Nothobranchius furzeri: one gene and its partners. The main gene of each other region encodes a partner of the protein of the gene in region 3 in a complex. Links are inferred from orthologs where the notes say so. Each region holds a gene or a part of one and is shown on either strand. Other genes may lie near its edges. The genes, in order: mybl2b, mybl1, rbl2, ogt.1, tfdp1a and lin52.

Region 1 (2,896 bases), on a different chromosome or scaffold from region 3:
ACACGTTAAATTAAAATTGGGGGTGCAATGACTAATCCAGGGGTAGCTATAGCGCCACCACTGGTTCTTCAGTGAAGTTTAGATAAGAACAACTTTATTTATCCCGAGGGAAATTCTTGTGTCATGTACATGCTCAAAGCAGCTCAAGTTCTTAAAATCATCTAATGTAACTCATACGTGTAACACTGAACAGATGTTTTAAACAGAGTAATTCACTAATGAGATTTTAGGCTGTTGTTACCATGCCCATGGTTGCAACATAAAAGCAGCATTTCAAAATAAAAGCAGGGTAAAAAGATAGTCAATTCCTGATGTGGCAATTTGTTTTATCGCAGATCCAAGTTCATCAATGTTCTGGGAAATAAACAGAATCAAATAGACCACTTTGCACTTTTGTATTTTTAACCACATCCATTTCAAAGCACTCTGTTATTGTTTTGTTAAGTCTGATTTGATAAATAGTTGCTGATCTAAAGTTACATTACTCAAATTGAATTATCTGGCAGGAATCATATATTTTATTTTATCAGTTTGCCATCCTCTGTCACTTGGTTGGTTTTACTGAAGCCTTTAAGCAGTTAAAGTGTGGAAAAATAATAGAACAAACATTCTGGAAAAATAGATGTTTTCATTAAACCCATCTATTACATGAGTGAGATAATACCCAACTCTAATTATATTTACAAATATTGCTAAATAACAACGCATTATGCAAACAGTGGTCAGAACAGGTCTTCTACACAACCTTTACTGTATAAAAACAGGTCACATTTTTAAAATATTGATAAGTTGCTGTTAGGGTTGCAGTGGGATGTAATTTGTGAGACTTGAGGTTTTAATTCTACTTATGGTGAACATGTTCTGCAGTAAAACTGATGTGAAGATGTTTCCTGAGGGTTTTTTTTTTTGTTCACAACAGTACAAAAACACTTTCCAGATTCATAAAACCACAATTTTTACAAAATGTTACAATCTTGATTCCTTGTTTTTACATTCAAAGTTCTTTTCTAACATTTGAAATCAACAATGATTAGCCTACATCTAGAAGCACCACACTCTCAAACGGGTCATTTCTTTGAACCCTGTAGTCGCCGGTCTCTGCCCACGTTGGCGTGGCAACCGAACTCAGGACAGAACCAAAGCCCGGTTTGGAGCGCTGCGTTTCAGAGAGCGAAGGTAGCGCCTTGCTTTCTCCGTCATTATCAGCTGATCTTTAGTTTGTCCACAAACGACTTTCTCCCACTCCCTGGACATCTGTGGAAAGAGAAACCAGCTTCAGATCAGAACTACGTACACTGGTGCTGAGGTCATACTGGGAGGGGATGACTTACAGGAAGTGGAGGCAGTGAACTGGGAAATATGGCGCTGTCACTTGGCCCCAGCAGGAACCCCTGGTCCAGAATGCTTTCATGTCTCCTGCTCCGGAACGATGAGGAGTTGAGAGGAACGGTGACGGGTTCCTCCTGTGAGCAGGAGGCAAAAACATCAGAACTCACATCTACAGACGACTGAACCTTTTGTTTATTTACACATTCCACCTTGATGGTGCGTCTGGCCTCCATCTTGCCGGATTTGCGTTTGGATGGAGGATTCACCTCCATGACGTCCAGGGCCAGCGACTTCCGCACCTTCTTCATCGGAGGGCGATGCTGCAGGCGGGGTGACAAATCAAAGCTACAGTTACAGTTCCAGATCAGCTGATCACAAGTTTATCCTGTGGTCTGATGCATCTCCAGTCTGGAACCACCTGTTCCTCCTTGTGAGGAGCTGAGGACTAAAGATCCAGCTCCACTTTAGCCAAACTCATGAAGACATTCCAGGAAGCTTTTAGTTTGGTGCAACGAGACGAGGCAGCAGACCCGTGGGTGAGTGTTCTGTAACAGAGCTCAACGGCGTTTTAGAAGACTCAAGAGAACATCTGCAGAACTCGGCTGTACCGCTGCTGACTGACACCTAGAGTCGGGGTGGAGTCCAGGAGCTGTACGCATCAAACGTTCGTAGAATATTTCTAAATTCCTGCTCATACGAACGCAGATGGCTTCTCGTTCCTCCTCTATCACCTGATGATAAATCTCACCTGTGCTCGTGTTTGTTCACCATCATTTACATACAGAAACACCCTCAATTAACCATATTTGGTCACACCGTGTCTTCAGCTCATGAGAGGAATCCCTGCATTCCTCCCCAAAAATTTATAAACGTGGGCCAGAGGAGACATCCTGTCACTCTGCTGTCATTTACCGTTGACATCAAAGAGTTGTCTGCATGTTCGGTTTGGAAACCTTTGTTGTCCGAGTGCAGCCTCCTCTGAGCTGCCACTCAGTCTGGTTACCACGACGACACGCTGCGTATGACGGGGCAGCAGAGGAGGTTCTGGACGGGTTCTTCTCTTAGTTGTAAACAACTGAATGTGCTAGAGTCGGATGTGTGTGGTCTGTAACCACGACAGCTCCAGAAGGATCCCTTTCGGGGAGATCCGTGCGCTCACGGAGGACGCGCCGGAGTGCACATTCTGCCAAATCCTCAGATAACACAGATCAGCCATGCTCCTGTCAGTCACAGGTGTCTCTTACAGGTTTTGGCGCCAGTCGGGCGCGAAAAAACTGATTTTCCACCGCTAGAATTGTTTATTGGGTGAAATAATTCAGAGATGAGGAACATGTGTGGAGTTCTACCACTAGATGCTGCTCATACGCATGGACCAAGCCCCCACAATGCTGCTCTAAAATTTGAGTCCAACCCGGAAATACCAAAAATTGCAGTTCCACCCTCATCCACTAGGGGCTGGTGTCAGAAGCGAGCAAATCCTCATTGACTCCCATGTTAAAAATACCAATTTCACAGCAGAAATAAACATGTTCACAGCCTGGTACCAAAACATGTTTTTGGTTTAAAT
Region 2 (3,500 bases), on a different chromosome or scaffold from region 3:
GAGATCTTTATAACTTTTAGACAGAAACACACTTCAAGAAGGATGCAGAAACTTTTAGATTGTAATAAAATATTTGATGTTTTGTTCATACACACCTGTGAGTGAGCGGGTTTTGGTGCTTTAATCAAGGAAGATACCTTCTTGATAGGAGGGCTAGAGAACTGCTGAGCGTGACTGCGAACTCCTAAAGAGGGACCGTCTTTCTTAGAAGGCAAAGCCTGTCCACGTTTCTCTTGCTCAGGGTCGACCAGTGAAGAAGAGTTTGTCAGCAGAGACTCCGACAACTGCAATATGACATCAGGCATTTGTCAAACTTTTACGTTTTAGTCTTTTATAACAGAACGGTCAATCAAAGTGAAGATTTTCTGTCACACAAACCTCAGTGCTTTTATTTGCTATTAATGATTCTTGTTATATTGCGGACACAAAAATAGTTTTCCTAAGTGACTTACCAGTGCATTGTTGAGTTGCTCCTGGAAGAGTTGGACATCGAGACTGTCCTTCTCCCAAGAGTCTAAAACAAGAGACTTGCGCACTTTTCTAGCCGGGCCGTCCATCTAAATGTAGAAGAGTCGCTGTCAGTGTTAGATCACTCCGGTTTGGTTCAATTATTTTTTTAAACAGAACAAAAAACAGCTGATTGAGGAGTGAAACTCACATGGTGCTTCCACGCTCGGTGGTCCAGCTGGAAGTCTGCTTTGTGGAAGATGTCCGTTCCCGTCTCCTGCTTCAGGACTTCTCGAATGTCCTCTTCGAGAAATGCCAAAGGCTGTGGCTGCGACAGGATGAATGTAAACTACAACGCAAACTGATCAGGAATATAACGAACCACACACAAAACAAATCCTACCTCCAACCTCAGCGGGCCATGCATTTTCTCCTGAGCAGCCAGAGCGTTTTTAAAGGGAGTGGGAGTTCTCGGGGTTAGAACGGCGGCTTTTTTACGAACTTTTGGAGTCCTGGAACTACACAAGTGTTGTCATTATAGTAAGAGTTTATTAAAAGCACAATCTAGCTTTAATGATCACTTATTTACCCATCATTCTCTTTCTGGTGGTTAGGCGTAGCTCCTTTGAGGATGCACCTCTGACTGCACACGGGGGTTGACGTCAGGGTGGGATCATCCAGATTCAGGTGCTCCATCCCTGATGTGTTGCAGAGCTGACAAGACAGACAAATGTGGTGCATGACTGATACAACGGCAGTAGGAAGATGCAATATTCTGGTTTGAGGTTTGAAGACAATAGAGCAGCGCTCATTTACTCGCGATGGCGTGAAATGTTGCGACTTTGTGGGAGTTTTCTTGGGTGAGATGTTCTCCAAAAAAGATGAACAGATCCTTTCACACAGAGGTTCCCCTCTGTCTTTCCTCCTTTTCTTCCCGATGGATGCCTGGGTGGGTTTCGATGGGTTGATGCCGCCCCCCAAACCAAAAGGAGCAGCGTTCCTGCCTGAGACGACACTGGGAGCATTGGCGGTGAAATCTATGAGATTGTAAACGGCCTTCTCTTGCAAGGGATTTGCGTAGCCTGCTTGGTTTTGTCTGAGGGGCGGCGTTGTGTTCGGCAAGTCTAAAGCGGCCGCATTGTTCCACGTAGCGGGATCCTGCTGAGTAAAATACATCTACAGTCAAAGTTTTTCTTTAAATGTACAACTGATTTGTTTTTTAAAATCCTGTTTTTTCTTTACTCACTGAATCGATGAGCTCCATGGTTTCTGCAAACTCCGGGATGGTCTGCAGGCTGGAGAGCACAGCGCTGGCCTCTACAGACAGGAACTTACTGGGGGAGACAGGAAGCTGTGTCGGAGGCCCCGGCGAGATCTCTGGACCCCTCCAGGGCTCCCTCTCCACTGGTTCTTCTAGGCTGCTGCTGCTTGTGGCGAAGACGTCATCAGACACACCGTCTGACCAGGCTGGGTATGGATCCACACCCTGAGGGGGTCGCCAGAAAAACAACTGGTGTTGAGGACGCAGATGGACTTTTTTTTTTTTTGGTCCAAAATGAAACTAGCAGCAAGTTAAGGATGCGATGTGGAAAAAGTTTCAGTGTTGATGAAAGGAGTGATCAGAACTACAGGGGTTTCTGCAGGAGGTGGGGTGACAACACAGCACAGCCGCAGGGCAAGATGAGTGAGCAGCAAGATGGGAAAAGTAGTTACTATAGCAACACTATAGCAAACCAGCCTATAGGCACAAATAAATGCACACCACTCTTGTTTTCATGGGTATACACTGCAAAAAAGTTCATAAGCAACAAAAATGTTCATTTTTAAATGATTTCTTAGTGATTGTGTGTATTTTTTGAATGAAATTAGCTTTTTTACAGTGTAATTGAGCTACAGACACACGCAGGCTATGCTAACAAGGTCTGCTAACACACGTTTGGAGTGTGTTCTTACACAGGAACCTCTGCACTGCATTTGCCGCTGGACTTCTCTTTCTGCTGACATAAGTAGAAGCTCAAGCTCCTTAATTCTTTGCTCTCTGTCAGGATCATCCAGGCAGGACGGCTGGAGTAAACAAACGGCCGGGTAGGAAAAGAAAACAGGAAGGGGGAAAAAAAGAGTGGAGAATTGAGAAGTTTTTTTTTAGTGAAGGAGAGAAAACAAAACAAATTTAGACACAAATCGATTATTCGGGGATAGCGGAAAACAACAGGACAGTCAAGTTTTTGATTAGCTTGATTTGTCCGAAGTTAGCAATCACCACAACAACAGTAGAGATAGGAGAATAAAAGGAGTGAAAAGAGATTTAAATAGAAAGACTCACTAGCATGAAGCCGGGGTTTTCAGAGAGGCTGTCCATCATGTGTCCGCTGGCAGGATCGTATGAAAATCCAGCCATCTGTAACACAACAGCAACTCAGAAAAGGAGCAGAAATGAAAGAAGCCAATGGACCTCTTAGTGTAAAGGCTGAAAGGAGACCTGGTTGGGCCCAGGCACAGGAAGAGGGCTGCGGTCACATAGCGGGGGTTCTGCTGGTGTTGGAGCTTTACTGTGACGTCTTTTGACACCACTGGAGGTGAAAGCCTTGCAGCCGTCCTGCAGGTAACCCTCGTGCTCCACTTTCCTCCTCATGGTGGAATTCCAGTGGTTCTTGATGGAATTGTCTGTCCTGTTGAGGGAAGGATTGATCATCTTTTAAAATTTACTGACTGAAAGAAAATAAAAACACTATGGTGTTATTTTACCGTCCAGGAAGGAGTTTGGAGATCTCTGCCCAGCGGTTGCCCAGCCGTTTGTGAGCCTCGTAGATAATTTGATCCTCCTCCTGAGTCCACGAAGACTTCTTCACCTCCGGGTTCAGGTGGTTGTGCCAACGCTCCCGACACTGCTTCCCAATCCTTCCCTGGAGGTGCTTTGCGATCACGGACCAGCGCTTGGGGCCATACTTGTGAACCAAGTCGATCACCTGCACCAACAGCAAACCACAAGCATTTATAAATAGCCCGGGCATAAACAAAGCTCATTAGGCTCTATGTAAACACTTGTAATAAAA
Region 3 (3,500 bases):
GAGTGCTGGTCAGGTTCTGGGCAGGGAGTGGCTGAAGTGTGGCCCCGCCCACTTGCACTGGGATGAAAGTGAATCCTCCATTCTCATTGGGTATCCCTACAAAGAGGTCAGAGGTCAGCACATAGTTACAGGTCACCTGTTGTAGTTAACTCATTGTTTTGAGTCCCTTACCTTGCACAGGTATAGTCAGTGTCTGCCCGTTGTTGGCCGTGACGGTGGCGGTCGCCACTACAGTCTGCCCCGCCGGAATGGTGGCAATGAGGCTCGGCTTTGTGACGCTGCTCGGTGGTGTTCTTGTGGCGCTGGTCTCACCCTCCGTCGGGTCAACAAACAGACGGCGACGAAATCCACCTGTGGGGGGGGAGCCATACCGGTCCTGCAGGGTGGTGGGGGAGGGGGACACGCCTTCAGAAGACGGAGGGGCAAATTATTTCTACACAGAAACACAAAAGAGTAAGACAAGATGGCTGACAAATCACCTGTGATGGTGCTGTTGGTGCTGAGGTCTGGTCCCTGTGAGGCTGGAGTGAGGGCAATGCCAGCCCCACCGCTGTCTTCATTCTGTTCCAGGTACTGAGGAGGCATCACCTGAAACGCAGACGCACACACACGTGCACACACACACACACACACACACACACACACACACACACACACACACACACACACACACACACTGATTGACCCACAGAACTTTCAGAACCACTGAATTTTATTTGTGAGCAGCCTAAAGCCTCCTCATATCTCTGAGACTTTGGTAAACAAAAGGTTCTGAATGTTTCCAACATCATCTGTTCAGTAAGAAGATGACATCATCTCTACAGGTGAAGTAGAACCAGGTGCTGTTTGTGTTCTCATGGACCTCCTGGCAGGTCGGGACTTGGGCTGACTGGAGACTGTGCCACAGCGGGGAGTTGCTGGTCCAAGCCAGGCTCTCCAGAACCTGCTCCTCCACCTGGTTCAGGTGCTTCACGACCTCCCGAAACAGACCCTGTTCCGACCGGACCAGCACCTCAATCACCTGCACACACACACACACACACACACACACACACACACACACACACACACACACACACACACACACACACACACACACACACACACACACACACACACACACACACACACACACACACAGTAAACGTGAGTTTTTATGAGTATTAGTTCGTTCATCAGATGATGAAATAGTTGTTATTATTATTATTATTATTATTATTACAGTTGTTATTACAATTATTGTTGTTTATATTATTGTTGTCTTGAGCAGTGTCTGGCAGATGCTGCTGACTAGTGCCGATAGCTGAGATGAAGCTCAGCATGCTGCTTCCTGATTGGCTAATCTGGACTCAGTCTGAGAACGGGTCGGGCCAGCTGGTACCTTATAGAAGTGGTAAGCAGGAAGCTGGAAGGTGTGGATGACTCTGGGGAAGTCTCCTGGAGGTCTGTAGGAGAAGGTAACGATCTCCAGGCAGCAGGCCAGCAGGGAGCGGTGGAACACGTCCTGCTCCAGAATACACTGCAGAACCAACAGGGGGTATGGTTCAGTGCAGTCACAGCTGGTAACCATCACACACAGAACCTCCCCGGTCCAGACCAGACGCCCTGGGTCAGGAGTCCAGACCTTGAGACCAGAACTGTACTCACAGACAGGTCAGCGTCTCCCAGGATCATCTTTTCTCTCTCAACGATGGACTCCAGGATCCTGTAGTACAGCGCCTCGCTCAGGTGGAAGAACTTGACGGCCATGTCTGCTGGACAACACATGGTCAGGTGGGACAGCAGATCAGCTGATCACTGGGCTCAGGTCCTCACCTTTTTCCATCCCCTTGCTGTCATCAGTGCTGTCCTCATGATGCTGTGTGAAGATGTCTAACATGTCCTTCAGGCGCTGACTGATGACATCACTGGGGTCTCTGGAACAGCCCCTGGAACCGAAACAGCCGCACTCCAGACTTCCAGTCAATGTAAATTGTTAAAGGTCAGAGGTCAGGCTTAGTCTATCAGAACTGGACCTCACCAGAACCTTAAACCGGCTTCACCAAACCAAACCTGGAAAAGCAGCAAGTTCACCCTAAGGTCAAAGGTCAACACTCAGTTTCAGGGAGGCTAAAGGTCACAGCAGCTCAGATTGGTAGCATTTTACCTGAACAAACCACGGAGACACCAAGGTGGATGTGTTTACCCACAATGCACTGCAGCAGAGACAGCTGTTCCCAGCTGTCAGCACGGTCAGTGGTGGAGCTGACCTCTGACCTTTAGGCTTTACAGAATGGATGCCTAACCTCTGCACCACTGTAACACCTGTGCACATCCTCAGAAAAAGTCCCACAAGATAAAACGTGGCTTACTCATCAGGCACACTCCCTCACCGGTGCCGAGCTGGCCGTAATCCACAAGAATCCACAAGTTAGAACCTAAACGGACCTGATATCTGACCGAACTGTGCTCTAAGTCTAGACTCTGGACCTCTCTCCCCCTGAGCCTGAGATCAGTGGACTCAATGGTCTCCTTTAAAAAGCAGCTGAAGACTCACTTGTTCAAGCTGGCTTTTGTATGACCTTCTTCACCACTCTCTCTTTATTCTGCTCTCCCCACCTATTCCACCTTCCTCAGGATCCACTGATTTCCCTCTTTCCTATTCACTCTCTCTCTTTCTTAACATTTTTTTTAATTACAATTGCCTATTTTTGCTCATTTTAATATATTTTTAAACATTTTCTAAATGCTTTTTTATATTTTTACATATTTTGTTTTTGTGAAGCGCCTCGTGATTTTTATCTTGAGAGGCGCTATAGAAATATTTTCTTCTTCTTCTTCTTCTTCTTCTTCTTCTAAGTGCAGCCCTGAGACTAAAACCTGAAGCTAACAGGTTAGCTAAAGGCTGATTCAGCACGCCCATGACTGGTTGGACGGACGGATTTCCCCGCATGCCGCGCTCTTTCTGACATGTTTAAAATGTAACTAACTTATCGGCTGTATCTGACACTGTCAACCACGGCTTCCTTTGGTCCGCACTCTCTAGCATGGGCATCGCAGGGAAAGCACACTCCTGGCTTGAATCGTACCTGAAAGGACGATCTTTCAGTGCATCTTGGCTCGGACAATTTCTGCTGTTCACCATCTTGCCACAGGAGTCCCCCAGGGCTCTGTACTAGGACCTCTTCTCTTTGCCATATACACCACCTCACTAGGTGAGATCATTCAATCACATGGCTTCTCCTACCACTGCTATGCTGATGACACCCAGCTCTACCGGCCATTCCCGCTGGACGACCACAGAGTCTCTGAACGAATCTCAGACTCTGACATATCAAGATGGGTGAAATCCCACCATCTCCAACTCAACCTCTCTTACACTGAATTACTTGTCATGCCAGCGAAACCATCCATACGGCACAATATCTCCAAAGTGATTCCCTTTAGACATGGTGGGGTGGGAGTAATGAGGTTAGCGGATCAGAACCTGACACCTGAGGGTTCTCTTAGTCCGGTCAGAA
Region 4 (3,500 bases), on a different chromosome or scaffold from region 3:
TTTACAGGCAGTGACTCTGGACCCAAACTTCCTTGATGCATACATTAATTTAGGCAACGTTCTGAAAGAAGCCCGCATCTTTGACAGGTGAGTCTAAAATTTCACTCAAAACATTGAAAACATCAGGCTGTCCAGTTTCAGTCTATCTGAAAAGACTAATCGTGATATTTCAGAGCTGTGGCTGCGTATCTGAGAGCCCTGAGTCTAAGTCCCAACCATGCAGTTGTTCATGGAAACCTGGCGTGCGTCTACTACGAGCAGGGCCTCATTGACCTCGCCATCGACACCTACCGCCGTGCTATCGAACTGCAGCCTCACTTTCCCGACGCTTACTGCAACTTGGCCAACGCCCTAAAGGAGAAAGGCAATGTATGGAACGCCTTTCTGTTCTAAATAAAACAGCTTTTAGTTATTGTCAGTAGTCATTTATAAAATAGTTTTTCTGAATGTTTTTTAAGGTATCTGAAGCAGAAGAGTGCTACAACACAGCTTTGCGCCTGTGTCCAACTCACGCGGACTCCCTCAACAACTTGGCCAACATAAAGCGTGAGCAGGGCAACATCGAGGAGGCGGTCCAGCTCTACAGAAAAGCCTTGGAGGTGAGTTGACTCCAGTGCTCCTGTTCTTGTTATTGGGTTTGCTACACTTGTGAGCTCTAATGCTGTTTTTCATTAGGTGTTCCCAGAGTTCGCAGCAGCTCACTCTAACCTTGCCAGCGTGCTGCAGCAGCAGGGGAAACTACAGGAGGCCCTCATGCACTACAAGGAGGCCATCAGGTCAGTAGCTACTGACCACATTCTGTTAACTCTCACAACAGATGCATGAGATAGTCTTAAACACACGATTGTTAGTCAGTTGACTCTAGAGCTTAATCTTCGTCTGTAACGGTTTCAGAATCAGCCCGACATTTGCTGATGCTTATTCCAACATGGGCAACACACTAAAGGAGATGCAAGATGTACAGGGAGCGCTGCAGTGCTACACTCGTGCCATCCAGATCAACCCGGCCTTTGCTGATGCTCACAGCAATCTGGCCTCCATCCACAAAGTAAGAATAACCCTTTTTATTTGTCTCGGGCATGTATCGCATCAAAACAAAACCTGAACTCATTACTGAAAGTTTTAGACGTTTTCACTGTTTGTGCAACTTTTAATTAACCTTTTGAATGTGTTGATTAGGATTCTGGAAACATCCCAGAGGCCATTGCATCGTATCGCACAGCCTTGAAACTCAAACCAGACTTCCCTGATGCGTACTGCAACTTGGCACATTGCTTACAGGTTATTATTTTTTTCACTTCACGCCTACGTGTGTAAAACCTGGAGTAAATACTTGTAATCTCATCATCTTGCCACTTTCTCAGATTGTGTGTGACTGGACCGATTATGATGAACGGATGAAGAAGCTTGTGAGCATCGTGGCCGACCAGCTAGAAAAGAACCGCTTGCCCTCGGTGCACCCGCACCACAGCATGCTGTATCCGCTGTCTCACGGCTTCCGCAAAGCCATTGCCGAGCGCCACGGCAACCTTTGCCTGGACAAGGTACTCGCACTGATCAAAGCAAGTAACGTTTAAATTACTCTTTTGGGTGGGTGTGAGGTGGTTGGTGATGGCAGGGCCTGGTTGCGGGGATAGGTAAGGGATGAGCACCACTTATAATGTTTTACTATGAGGATAAGAAACTAAACAGCTGGTGGTTACTGGGCTGCTTATGGTGGGTGAGGGTTTGGCTCAGGGATTAACTTTTTTGGTTAAACAATAAAACTTTATAACAGTAATTTTGGCGTTAGATTCTCTCTTGCTTTGGTTGTAATCTCATATTGTTGCCCGTTCCACAGATCAATGCACTACACAAACCAGCCTATGAGCACCCGAAGGACCTGAAGGCCAGTGGTGGACGCCTGCGGATCGGATACGTCAGTTCTGACTTTGGTAACCACCCAACTTCCCACCTGATGCAGTCAATCCCTGGAATGCACAATCCTGAAAAATTTGAGGTAGATTCTTGTTTTAGTTTTGTTCAAGAATTCAACATTTACTTTGTTTTGTTTTGATGTAAACAGTGGTTTAAATCTCTGATGTGTCTGCAGGTGTTCTGCTATGCACTTAGCCCTGATGACGGTACCAACTTCCGTGTGAAAGTGGTGGCAGAAGCTCATCACTTCACAGACCTCTCCCAGGTATCTTCAGTGACTTTGAGCCACATGACTTATTTTGCAGGAGTTTGGTGAAAACCCAAAAATAATTTTATATTTATTGCTTTTAAAACAAAGCACATAATTTTTGCTGAAGCTCTTTTATCTTTTGACTCCAGGTTCCTTGCAATGGGAAGGCTGCTGATCGGATTCACCAGGACGGAGTCCACATTCTGGTCAACATGAACGGATACACCAAGGGTGCCAGAAATGAGCTGTTTGCTCTGCGTCCTGCCCCCGTTCAGGTGAGCTGCTGCTCACAGAGCTCTGGAACCAACCTAGCAGCCAACCCCGTGGTGCTGATGAGTGTCCTAGTCAGCTGCTGTAAACTCGCCTTGCTTTCATTTACCAGGCTATGTGGCTCGGTTACCCTGGGACCAGCGGGGCTGCCTTCATGGACTACATCATCTCAGACAAGGAGACGTCACCTGTAGAAGTAGCTGAGCAGTACTCTGAGAAGCTTGCCTACATGCCCCATACCTTCTTCATTGGAGATCATGCCAACATGTTCCCTCACCTCAAGGTCTGACCTTCCTTCCAGTGCAGAGAGACTCAAGTTTGTGTTTTTAGCTGTTTGTTTCTTAAACAAGAAACAATGTCTTGTTTAACCCACAGAAAAAAGCCGTGATTGATTTTAAGTCAAATGGACACATCTTCGACAACAGAATTGTTCTTAATGGTATTGATCTGAAAGCCTTCTTGGACAGCCTCCCAGATGTTAAAGTGATAAAAGTGAGTAAAAGCATGACAGTAAGTGTTTGATCAACCTGCAGTCACTATTTCACTGTTAACCTGTGTTGCTTGAAAGGGCAGAAATAAAAACTTTAATCTGACTCGGGAGAAGACACATGTGGCCTTGTTTTAAGAAACACTTTGAAAAGTTTAAGTTTTATGGATAAGCCGTTTTCTGTGACCAGATGAAGTGCGACAACAACCAGGAATCTGCTGGAGACACAAATGGAGCTTTGTCCATGCCCGTGATTCCCATGAACACAGCGGCAGAAGCCATCATCAACATGATCAATCAAGGCCAGATCCAGGTCACAATCAACAACTTCACAGTCAGCAACGGCCTGGCCACCACACAGGTACGATTCATGTGGACACAGCAGAATCTCGATGGCATGGACCAAAAGTATGCTCATGTAGGAAGTCAAAGTTTATTTTGCTGCTTTTTAGGTCTTTTTTTCTCACTTTCTTTTCTATTTTAATTTGTGTAAAACCATAAAGGATGAATAATAACTAGAAATATGATGCAGATCAATAACAAAGCTGCAACTGGGGAGGAGGTTCTACGCACCGT
Region 5 (2,958 bases), on a different chromosome or scaffold from region 3:
CTCTAAAGGACACTATGAGCTACAATGGTGGTAGGATTTATATGTAATTAACAAAGCTGAATTACCTAGGAGCTTTACCTCGCTTCAGCCGTTTATTTGTAAACACTACCAAAGGCGTCAACAGGGTGGTGATGGGACAGCTTCTCAACTCCAGAATACAAAAAAAAAAAAAAAAACATACTAACAAGATCAGAAAGCAGCTGCCTACGAAACATACGGAAGCCAACCCAACGCAATGGGAATAAGAAACTATTTCAAACCGCCCCAACAGCCATCAGGATCCACGGCGCGCTAACACAGCAGACATTAACGGAACATTTTGATCATAATATCCATCGTGACAGTAAAATAATAACTATTCAAACAAATACACTTTACATTCTCCAACAGCAACAGCTTTTACAGAGAGCGGAGAGTGGGATGGCTTGTTGAAAAAGGATCACAGACGACGGTTCCCGCAGATCGTAGGTGTGGTGCAGGAGCATGTGAGTCAGCGGGGGGGTGGAAACAACAAATAAACAGGAAAATATAAACAAACAACTCCTCTGTTCTTTCAGAATTCATCTACACCCCTGAGAAGACCAGACAGAAACACGAGCGTGGACGGGGGGGGGCTTGGGAAGGAAGCACACACACACTAAAAGGGACCAGATCGCCGCTGTGACTGCTGTTTGGAGGACTGTGCTTGTTGGAGTGGGGACATGTAGCGCGGTTAGTCTTCATCGTCGTTCTCCTCGTATTCATCCTCATCATCGTCGTCCCCCATGTAAGACACCGGGGTCTCCACGCGAGAGCCGCTGTAGTGAGAGTCGTTGGAGCTGGACGCCATGGTGCCGTCGGTGCAGCCGTCACTAGAAACGGAGAAACCGGGTTAAAAAGGGACCAGGTTGAAACGGGAAACGTTCCCATCTTAGGTACGACTTCCTACCTGCTGGCAGTGTAACGAGCGCCGTTGGCTGAGGATCCTCCTGTGATGTACACGTTACTGATGGGACCTTTCGCCATCTCTGTGAGAAGGAACCATATTTAATGTAGACGTCCAATCGTTCCTGAGTGAACACAGACGCTTCACTGTACGTGTCAGAACCTGCAACATGCTGCTTGACATGTTTAGACCTTTCCTAACTATTACTGCAGCTTCGGGACAGAGGGAGGGCTTCCTGCAACCAGAAAAAGCTCCTTTACCCCAGGATTACTGAGGGGAGGAGGTCCCTAAACACATATCAGGCTCTAAAAGAGACAACATCTCAACGTTGTCCTGAAGCATCAACAAAAACCCTGGCCGTTTACACCATGACGTACGAACCGATAACGTAAGGCTCCAGAGCTTTGGGCACCAGGCTGCGTGCCACCTTCAGGTCCTCTGCTGAACACTTCCCCACCTCCAGACCACAGGCCATGCCCATGCGCTTCAGCACCTCGATGTCATCGTGGATCTCAAACATGCTGTCGAAATTGAACAAATACTCGAACCTGGAGACGGAGAAAAAAAGACGCACAATAAATTGGGGCTAAAATTCTCCAGTTCGAATGTACGCAGATGATCACGTACTTGTCATTAGAGATGCTGCAGTCGATCACCGTCTTCTTGCTAGTGTTGACTATTATGAAGGGAAGGTGGATGATGGAGTTAGGAGGCGGGGGCCTGTTTGCTTGCTGCTCTGTCTGTCGGTTCCTCTGAACGAGGTTCTTAAAGGCTATTTGCTGTAAAATATAAAACATTTAATCAGACAAATGCATCTTTAATCGCTGAGGTGTTGGTGAAGCTCTATCGCCATTCCCACCTGAAGTATGAGCTCCTGAAGCTGTGACTGTTTCTGCTTAATCCTCTCCAGTCGCCGTTGTCTCTCCACCTGGAGGCATGACGGAGATAGTTGTTCAGAACGGCTTGTTACGTAAAAAGAAGACAAAAGCCTTTGATTTGAATCTCCACCTCTAAATTTTGGCACTCCTGAGCCGAGTTAGTGGGCAAGCCGATCCACTTGATTTCTTTCTTCTCTTTCGAGATGATGTTCATGGCCATGAGCACGTTCAGCGCATCGTAAACACGCCGCCGAATGTTCTTCTGGTCGTATACGTGCTGGGATGGAAAACACGTGGGTCAGCGTTAAAAAAAAAAAAACGTCTCTGAGTTTTGTGTGTAAAATAAAAGCTGCAGCGCTCACCGAGTCATTCGGCGACATGTGGTTGTCTGAAGAACTGAATTCTGCCACCAGCTCGTCTGCCACCTCATTGTAGGTGGTCACTCCCTTCTTCTGCACCTTCTCACACACTTTCATGGAGAAATGCCTCAAGCCTTTCCCATTCTTCTCCCCCTTCTTACCCCGTTTTCTGTTTACAGAACAAGTTACACATAGTTTGCTTCTAAAACTTGTGTAAAGTAAAAGAAATAAAAACGACTGAACTATTCGAGGTCTTACCCTGATGACCAAGGAGAAGCATCAGCGGGTTGACTCTGAGTGAGGAACTGAGAACTTGGTGTGTGTGGACTGTTTACTAAAATAGTATTTGATACTGTTGGCCTCTGAGGGGTTCCAATAACCTAAAGAGAGCAGAGGATGAGACAGTAAGACAATAACGTGCGTGCAAATACATCTGATGAATGATCAAAGCAACAATTTGTCCCAAATTAATAATAATCTGATGTAGGAGACAGGTGATCTGTAAGCTGATTTCCGTTGTGTATACATTTCTTCTACATAATGAGATGATGGGTGTAATCCTGCTGACTGTAGAGTTGATAAGCTTAGGATCAAGTGCCTCCACCTCCCAGCAGTAATGGGAGGGGGCTTACACAACAGCAAGGAGGTGTGGACAAAAGCAGCATGCAGGACATATGTAACCGTTCTGGAAAAGTGTCAGACAGAGCACACGCACTCACCATGTGTGGCAAATGTTGCATGTGTGTGGCAACATTAACGTTAGACGGCCCAAGGGTTTTGGGTAGTAGCTGCTTGG
Region 6 (3,955 bases), on a different chromosome or scaffold from region 3:
CTGGAGGCAAGGCAAACAAATCATTTCTAAAATTAATTATTTCACAAAATGAATCAATCTGATTTCTGCAACATTAAAATATTGATTTGCTTTACCACCAAATGTAGATCACTCTGGGGTGATTTTTTTATTATAGATGAACATTTTCTTGTTAAAGTGGCATTAAAGTTTTATTAAACCTTCTACAAACTATTTATTATCATTAAAGAACCGACATCATGGCTGCCATCTACCCTGCTGTTTAAACTCACATTATTTTACACAATTTGCTACCATTTCAGTTTATTTACACATGTCGCTGAAGAGGAGGTGTACAACGATTCTCTTACGCTAGAAACATTAAAAACATTTTTATCTTCTTTTAGGATAATATCAGCACTTAGCTACATCTCTCTAATCCACACTCCAGAAGGATTATTACAATGGAGGCGGGAGGGAATGGATTAAAACAAGAGCTTGTGCATCCATCATATTCTTGAGCATTTGCTTGTGTGAGCTCTTGGTGGCATGCACTCATTTCTTACTTGTTTACATTTAACAAGACTGACCTAAATCCTTGTTTTAAAGATCTTACGGCCAACCTGTTTTATGCAGACTCTAAATTACAATTGCACTTTCAATAACATCTACTCTGATTTTGAATAATAAATAACATCCATGTGATTTTAGCCTATTTTGAACAAACAAAAAGTAAATCTGATTCTGCAACTAAACGTAGTAGTGGAAAGGCTACTAGCACCACCTGGTGGTGATAGACGTAAACAGCTGATTGGGAAAACTAAAAACTACACGAACACATCACAGCCTATGTTTTCATGTTGTTTGTGTGTTTTGTACTTACACTCCTCTAAACCCAGCTGGTAAGCCAGGTTCTGAAGTCCTTTGACCTTCTCCATCAGGTTAGCTGTTGTCAGACTACCCAGCTCTGCAGAGTGATTACAAGGCAAAGATTTTAAGCTCCAGTTTGATCAACTCAGTTTCTCCTTGACAAGATTATATATTTATGGAAACACTAACCAGTACAACAGTTTTAACATGAAACGCTGCAGGCACAGAGAAAATCTTTCTAATTAAACATATATTAAAAAAAAAAACAATTGTACCAACCTTTTAACATCTCGATGTCCTCGCTTTCCAATTCAGCCATCCACTTAGGGGGTGAGCTTGTAATGGGCTGTAATAAAAATAAATGATATTATACGGCAATGCCAAATCTAAATGATTATTTAATGTATTAATCTCAGTTAATGACAAAAAACGTATCTTACGTTTTTATAGGATGCAGCAAATTCTGCAACTCCGGGTACTGTGTGAGAAATGACAGGACAGATAAGGTTAAACTGTGGGACCATAAAGAAGCACAGAGGAGATGAAAACTTACACTGCTCAGGCCACAGGTCTGGTGACGCTCTGTCCAGCTTTTCTAAACTAAGCAAAGAGCTTTCAAAATCATCACCTGGCAAAGAAAAGGAAGTAAAATTATGTTCAGAATTCAGGCAGAAATTTCAGAGCTTTAGAACAAAATGTGATCTTCTTGATGTAAATACAAGTAAAATGTGTGACTTATGGACCATTCCCATCTGTACCGGGTCGGCCCGGGCCGGGTAGCCCCAGTCGGCCCCATCCTGGCCCGGTTGATTCCACACATCCTTGTCTTACGCCCATGTGGGCTGATTCTACCCACCAATCAGAGGCTTGCTCTAATGGAAGGTGTGAATTTGCTGTCAGCAGTGGGTGTGTTGGCCCTGGTCGGCCTGAAGCAGACCCCCTCGAGAAGAGGGCTGAGAATGAGCCTTGGTTGGTCCGGAAAAATACCAGGCCACCCAGATATGTAAACAACCAACGCTACCCGGCCCGGACCGACCCGGTACAGATGGGAATGGCCCATATGACTACAGCCAAACAAATGTCAAAATGTAACCACAACAGTTAATACAATATGTTGGCTGTATTAAAACAAAATATGTGTACAAGATAAATACTGATTAATCAGCTGTTCTTAAAAAAATTACTAATATTTGGGAGGTTTAGTTTATTTATCATACCTTTCATTTTTAAATGTTGCTTGATTCAAGTCCCTATACAACCATTTCTGCTAGGCTGTGACAACAACTGTGTGCTGATTATTCAAAAACTATTCTTAAAACCAATATTTAGTGTAACAATTTGTGTTAGCATTATGCTTCCTAATACATGACCCTACATAGTGTGTGTGTGTGTACATATATATATATATATATATATATATATATATATATATATATATATATATATATATATATATATATATATATATATATATAACCTTTCAAAAACCTTTCAAAATATGTTGATGTGAAACAAATAATGCCTCAAAATGTTGGAAAAATGTCGTAAATATTAATTATTAGGCCAGTATTTAACAAAGAGGCAACTCAAAAGCTAGTAGTATTTAAAATATCAGGAGTTACGGAAGGTCTGCAGCCAGCTGTCTACTGTTCTTCCTTGAACGTTGGTGGACTAACAACACCGGGGCTAGTGGAGCCTTCAGTCAAACAAAACCACCTCCGAGAAGTCGGACTACAACGCTGATATGTGTAGTTCTGAATTCTGGGTGTTCAGCTACATCATCAATACATTCGTGGAATAATTTGTGTGATTTAAAGTGTTAAATTTTACATTTTTTAACAGCGTATCTGTGTAAGGAATTAAAATTTACCTCCATTCGGAGACGCCATCTTCACAATAATCACGTGACCCGTGACAACGAATAGGAGTCAATGTTGACAAAGCCTTGTAAATTCACAAACACACCACAAGAGGTCACTCTTACACACCAAAGCCGTGTTCCTGGGGGTAAAATGAATAAACTAATAATTTTATAATAAGTGTCAGGGGCGATCCTAGCATCAGAGGTTTAGGGGTGCTAAGCACACAGCGAGTTCCATGGCCAGGCAAGATACATTTCAACATTTTGTACAATTTTACACAATTTCATTCCAACATTTGTGAAAGAAAAGAAAATCGGTGTTTTTACAAATAGATCTGTGGTTTTACATATCACAATCTATGTTGAACAGATTTTGCTATCTGTGTACAACAATTTGGTCCAAGTTCGAAGAGTCTGGGTCAGTGGTTCCCAACCCTTTTTCTTTGATGACCCAATACAGGATCTATTTTATGGTTTTTGGTGCAATATTTTCTAACAGTGAGTGAAAGTCCGTTTTATTTATTTCTTTTTTTTGTTTGTTTGTTTTATTCATTTATTTAGAAGTTCGATTCTGAACATTCTAATGTTAACAAGAGTTTTATTTGCTGCATTTTAAAGGGTGTACTTGCATTATTATGATATATTAAAATTATATAAGTGATTATTTTGGTCTCGATAATGTCAACAATAATATTGTTTATTGGCAATAATTTGTTGGACAATATATTGTCCTGCAAAATCTGTTATCGTCCCAGGCCTAGTTCACTTGTACAAACTACTTAAAAATTAAAAATCAGCAAATCTATTTTATTTTTCTGTGTACAACAAAATTTTAGCTATTAGCTATAGCTGGGGCTATTAGCAGTTAAAACAGAGATGGATTTTTTTTAAGCTTTATTAAAATAAGAGGCTAAATATTCTCTTCAGAATGTCTAAAAGGAACGTGCAGTACCAGATTTCAGTTGGAAATTAGAGTGTCGTTCTATTTATTGCCAGCGGAGCTAGCAACTATATGTGATTGAATTTTTGAAAAATCTAAAGAGGCTAAATATTCCCTTCTAAATGGATTTAAAAATCGGATGTGCAGTATCAAATTTCAGACACTAGAGGGCAGCAAATACTCCCTTCTTGTCTGCATGCAGTTGGAAACCTGTGTTGTTCTGTTATTTGCCAGCAGAGGGCGCACATTCTCCATTCTTTCAACGAAACAAGTGTTTTAAAAAATAGAGCAAGAGTTTCTACTAAGTCCGTCTTGTAAAAATCTAT

Evidence for each region.
Region 1: rbl2 (region 3) and mybl2b share a complex: the UniProt entries of both Homo sapiens proteins name them as parts of the DREAM complex. The link is inferred for Nothobranchius furzeri from reciprocal best matches to the Homo sapiens genes RBL2 and MYBL2.
Region 2: rbl2 (region 3) and mybl1 share a complex: the UniProt entries of both Homo sapiens proteins name them as parts of the DREAM complex. The link is inferred for Nothobranchius furzeri from reciprocal best matches to the Homo sapiens genes RBL2 and MYBL1.
Region 4: the proteins of rbl2 (region 3) and ogt.1 are in contact, whole or in part, in a crystal structure (PDB 4XI9), measured with the Homo sapiens proteins. The link is inferred for Nothobranchius furzeri from reciprocal best matches to the Homo sapiens genes RBL2 and OGT. Residues at the interface, in NP_001310537.1 of Homo sapiens: Thr417, Pro418, Val419, Ser420, Thr421, Ala422; in NP_858058.1 of Homo sapiens: His506, His508, His509, Asn567, His568, Pro569, Tyr642, Thr643, Lys644, Gln849, Phe878, Val905, Ala906.
Region 5: rbl2 (region 3) and tfdp1a share a complex: the UniProt entries of both Homo sapiens proteins name them as parts of the DREAM complex. The link is inferred for Nothobranchius furzeri from reciprocal best matches to the Homo sapiens genes RBL2 and TFDP1.
Region 6: rbl2 (region 3) and lin52 share a complex: the UniProt entries of both Homo sapiens proteins name them as parts of the DREAM complex. The link is inferred for Nothobranchius furzeri from reciprocal best matches to the Homo sapiens genes RBL2 and LIN52.

What each region holds. Positions count from the first base shown.
Region 1 is NC_091743.1:41,543,867-41,546,762, reverse strand, and holds the end of mybl2b (v-myb avian myeloblastosis viral oncogene homolog-like 2b), read right to left. Parts: intron 1,650-2,896; coding exon 1,539-1,649; intron 1,464-1,538; coding exon 1,332-1,463; intron 1,255-1,331; coding exon 1,126-1,254; 3' UTR 501-1,125; downstream 1-500. UniProt on the Homo sapiens protein: Transcription factor involved in the regulation of cell survival, proliferation, and differentiation. Transactivates the expression of the CLU gene.
Region 2 is NC_091747.1:51,688,069-51,691,568, forward strand, and holds part of mybl1 (myb-related protein A), read right to left. Parts: intron 3,414-3,500; coding exon 3,193-3,413; intron 3,117-3,192; coding exon 2,927-3,116; intron 2,846-2,926; coding exon 2,771-2,845; intron 2,512-2,770; coding exon 2,401-2,511; intron 1,934-2,400; coding exon 1,694-1,933; intron 1,609-1,693; coding exon 1,264-1,608; intron 1,162-1,263; coding exon 1,037-1,161; intron 966-1,036; coding exon 851-965; intron 776-850; coding exon 659-775; intron 558-658; coding exon 453-557; intron 285-452; coding exon 96-284; intron 1-95. UniProt on the Homo sapiens protein: Transcription factor that specifically recognizes the sequence 5'-YAAC[GT]G-3'.
Region 3 is NC_091744.1:80,493,796-80,497,295, reverse strand, and holds part of rbl2 (retinoblastoma-like protein 2), read right to left. Parts: intron 1,929-3,500; coding exon 1,816-1,928; intron 1,755-1,815; coding exon 1,648-1,754; intron 1,520-1,647; coding exon 1,382-1,519; intron 1,022-1,381; coding exon 863-1,021; intron 589-862; coding exon 480-588; intron 406-479; coding exon 172-405; intron 97-171; coding exon 1-96. UniProt on the Homo sapiens protein: Key regulator of entry into cell division. Directly involved in heterochromatin formation by maintaining overall chromatin structure and, in particular, that of constitutive heterochromatin by stabilizing histone methylation.
Region 4 is NC_091741.1:100,479,913-100,483,412, forward strand, and holds part of ogt.1 (UDP-N-acetylglucosamine--peptide N-acetylglucosaminyltransferase 110 kDa subunit), read left to right. Parts: intron 1-7; coding exon 8-87; intron 88-173; coding exon 174-369; intron 370-458; coding exon 459-599; intron 600-675; coding exon 676-776; intron 777-894; coding exon 895-1,048; intron 1,049-1,179; coding exon 1,180-1,281; intron 1,282-1,364; coding exon 1,365-1,562; intron 1,563-1,840; coding exon 1,841-1,999; intron 2,000-2,092; coding exon 2,093-2,182; intron 2,183-2,316; coding exon 2,317-2,442; intron 2,443-2,549; coding exon 2,550-2,720; intron 2,721-2,812; coding exon 2,813-2,929; intron 2,930-3,114; coding exon 3,115-3,285; intron 3,286-3,456; coding exon 3,457-3,500. UniProt on the Homo sapiens protein: Catalyzes the transfer of a single N-acetylglucosamine from UDP-GlcNAc to a serine or threonine residue in cytoplasmic and nuclear proteins resulting in their modification with a beta-linked N-acetylglucosamine (O-GlcNAc).
Region 5 is NC_091754.1:25,783,838-25,786,795, reverse strand, and holds the end of tfdp1a (transcription factor Dp-1), read right to left. Parts: coding exon 2,882-2,958; intron 2,543-2,881; coding exon 2,421-2,542; intron 2,332-2,420; coding exon 2,166-2,331; intron 2,081-2,165; coding exon 1,934-2,080; intron 1,854-1,933; coding exon 1,785-1,853; intron 1,705-1,784; coding exon 1,553-1,704; intron 1,474-1,552; coding exon 1,307-1,473; intron 1,008-1,306; coding exon 929-1,007; intron 852-928; coding exon 713-851; 3' UTR 501-712; downstream 1-500. UniProt on the Homo sapiens protein: Can stimulate E2F-dependent transcription.
Region 6 is NC_091758.1:32,967,798-32,971,752, reverse strand, and holds the start of lin52 (protein lin-52 homolog), read right to left. Parts: upstream 2,801-3,955; 5' UTR 2,718-2,800; coding exon 2,699-2,717; intron 1,457-2,698; coding exon 1,382-1,456; intron 1,307-1,381; coding exon 1,269-1,306; intron 1,175-1,268; coding exon 1,108-1,174; intron 926-1,107; coding exon 842-925; intron 1-841.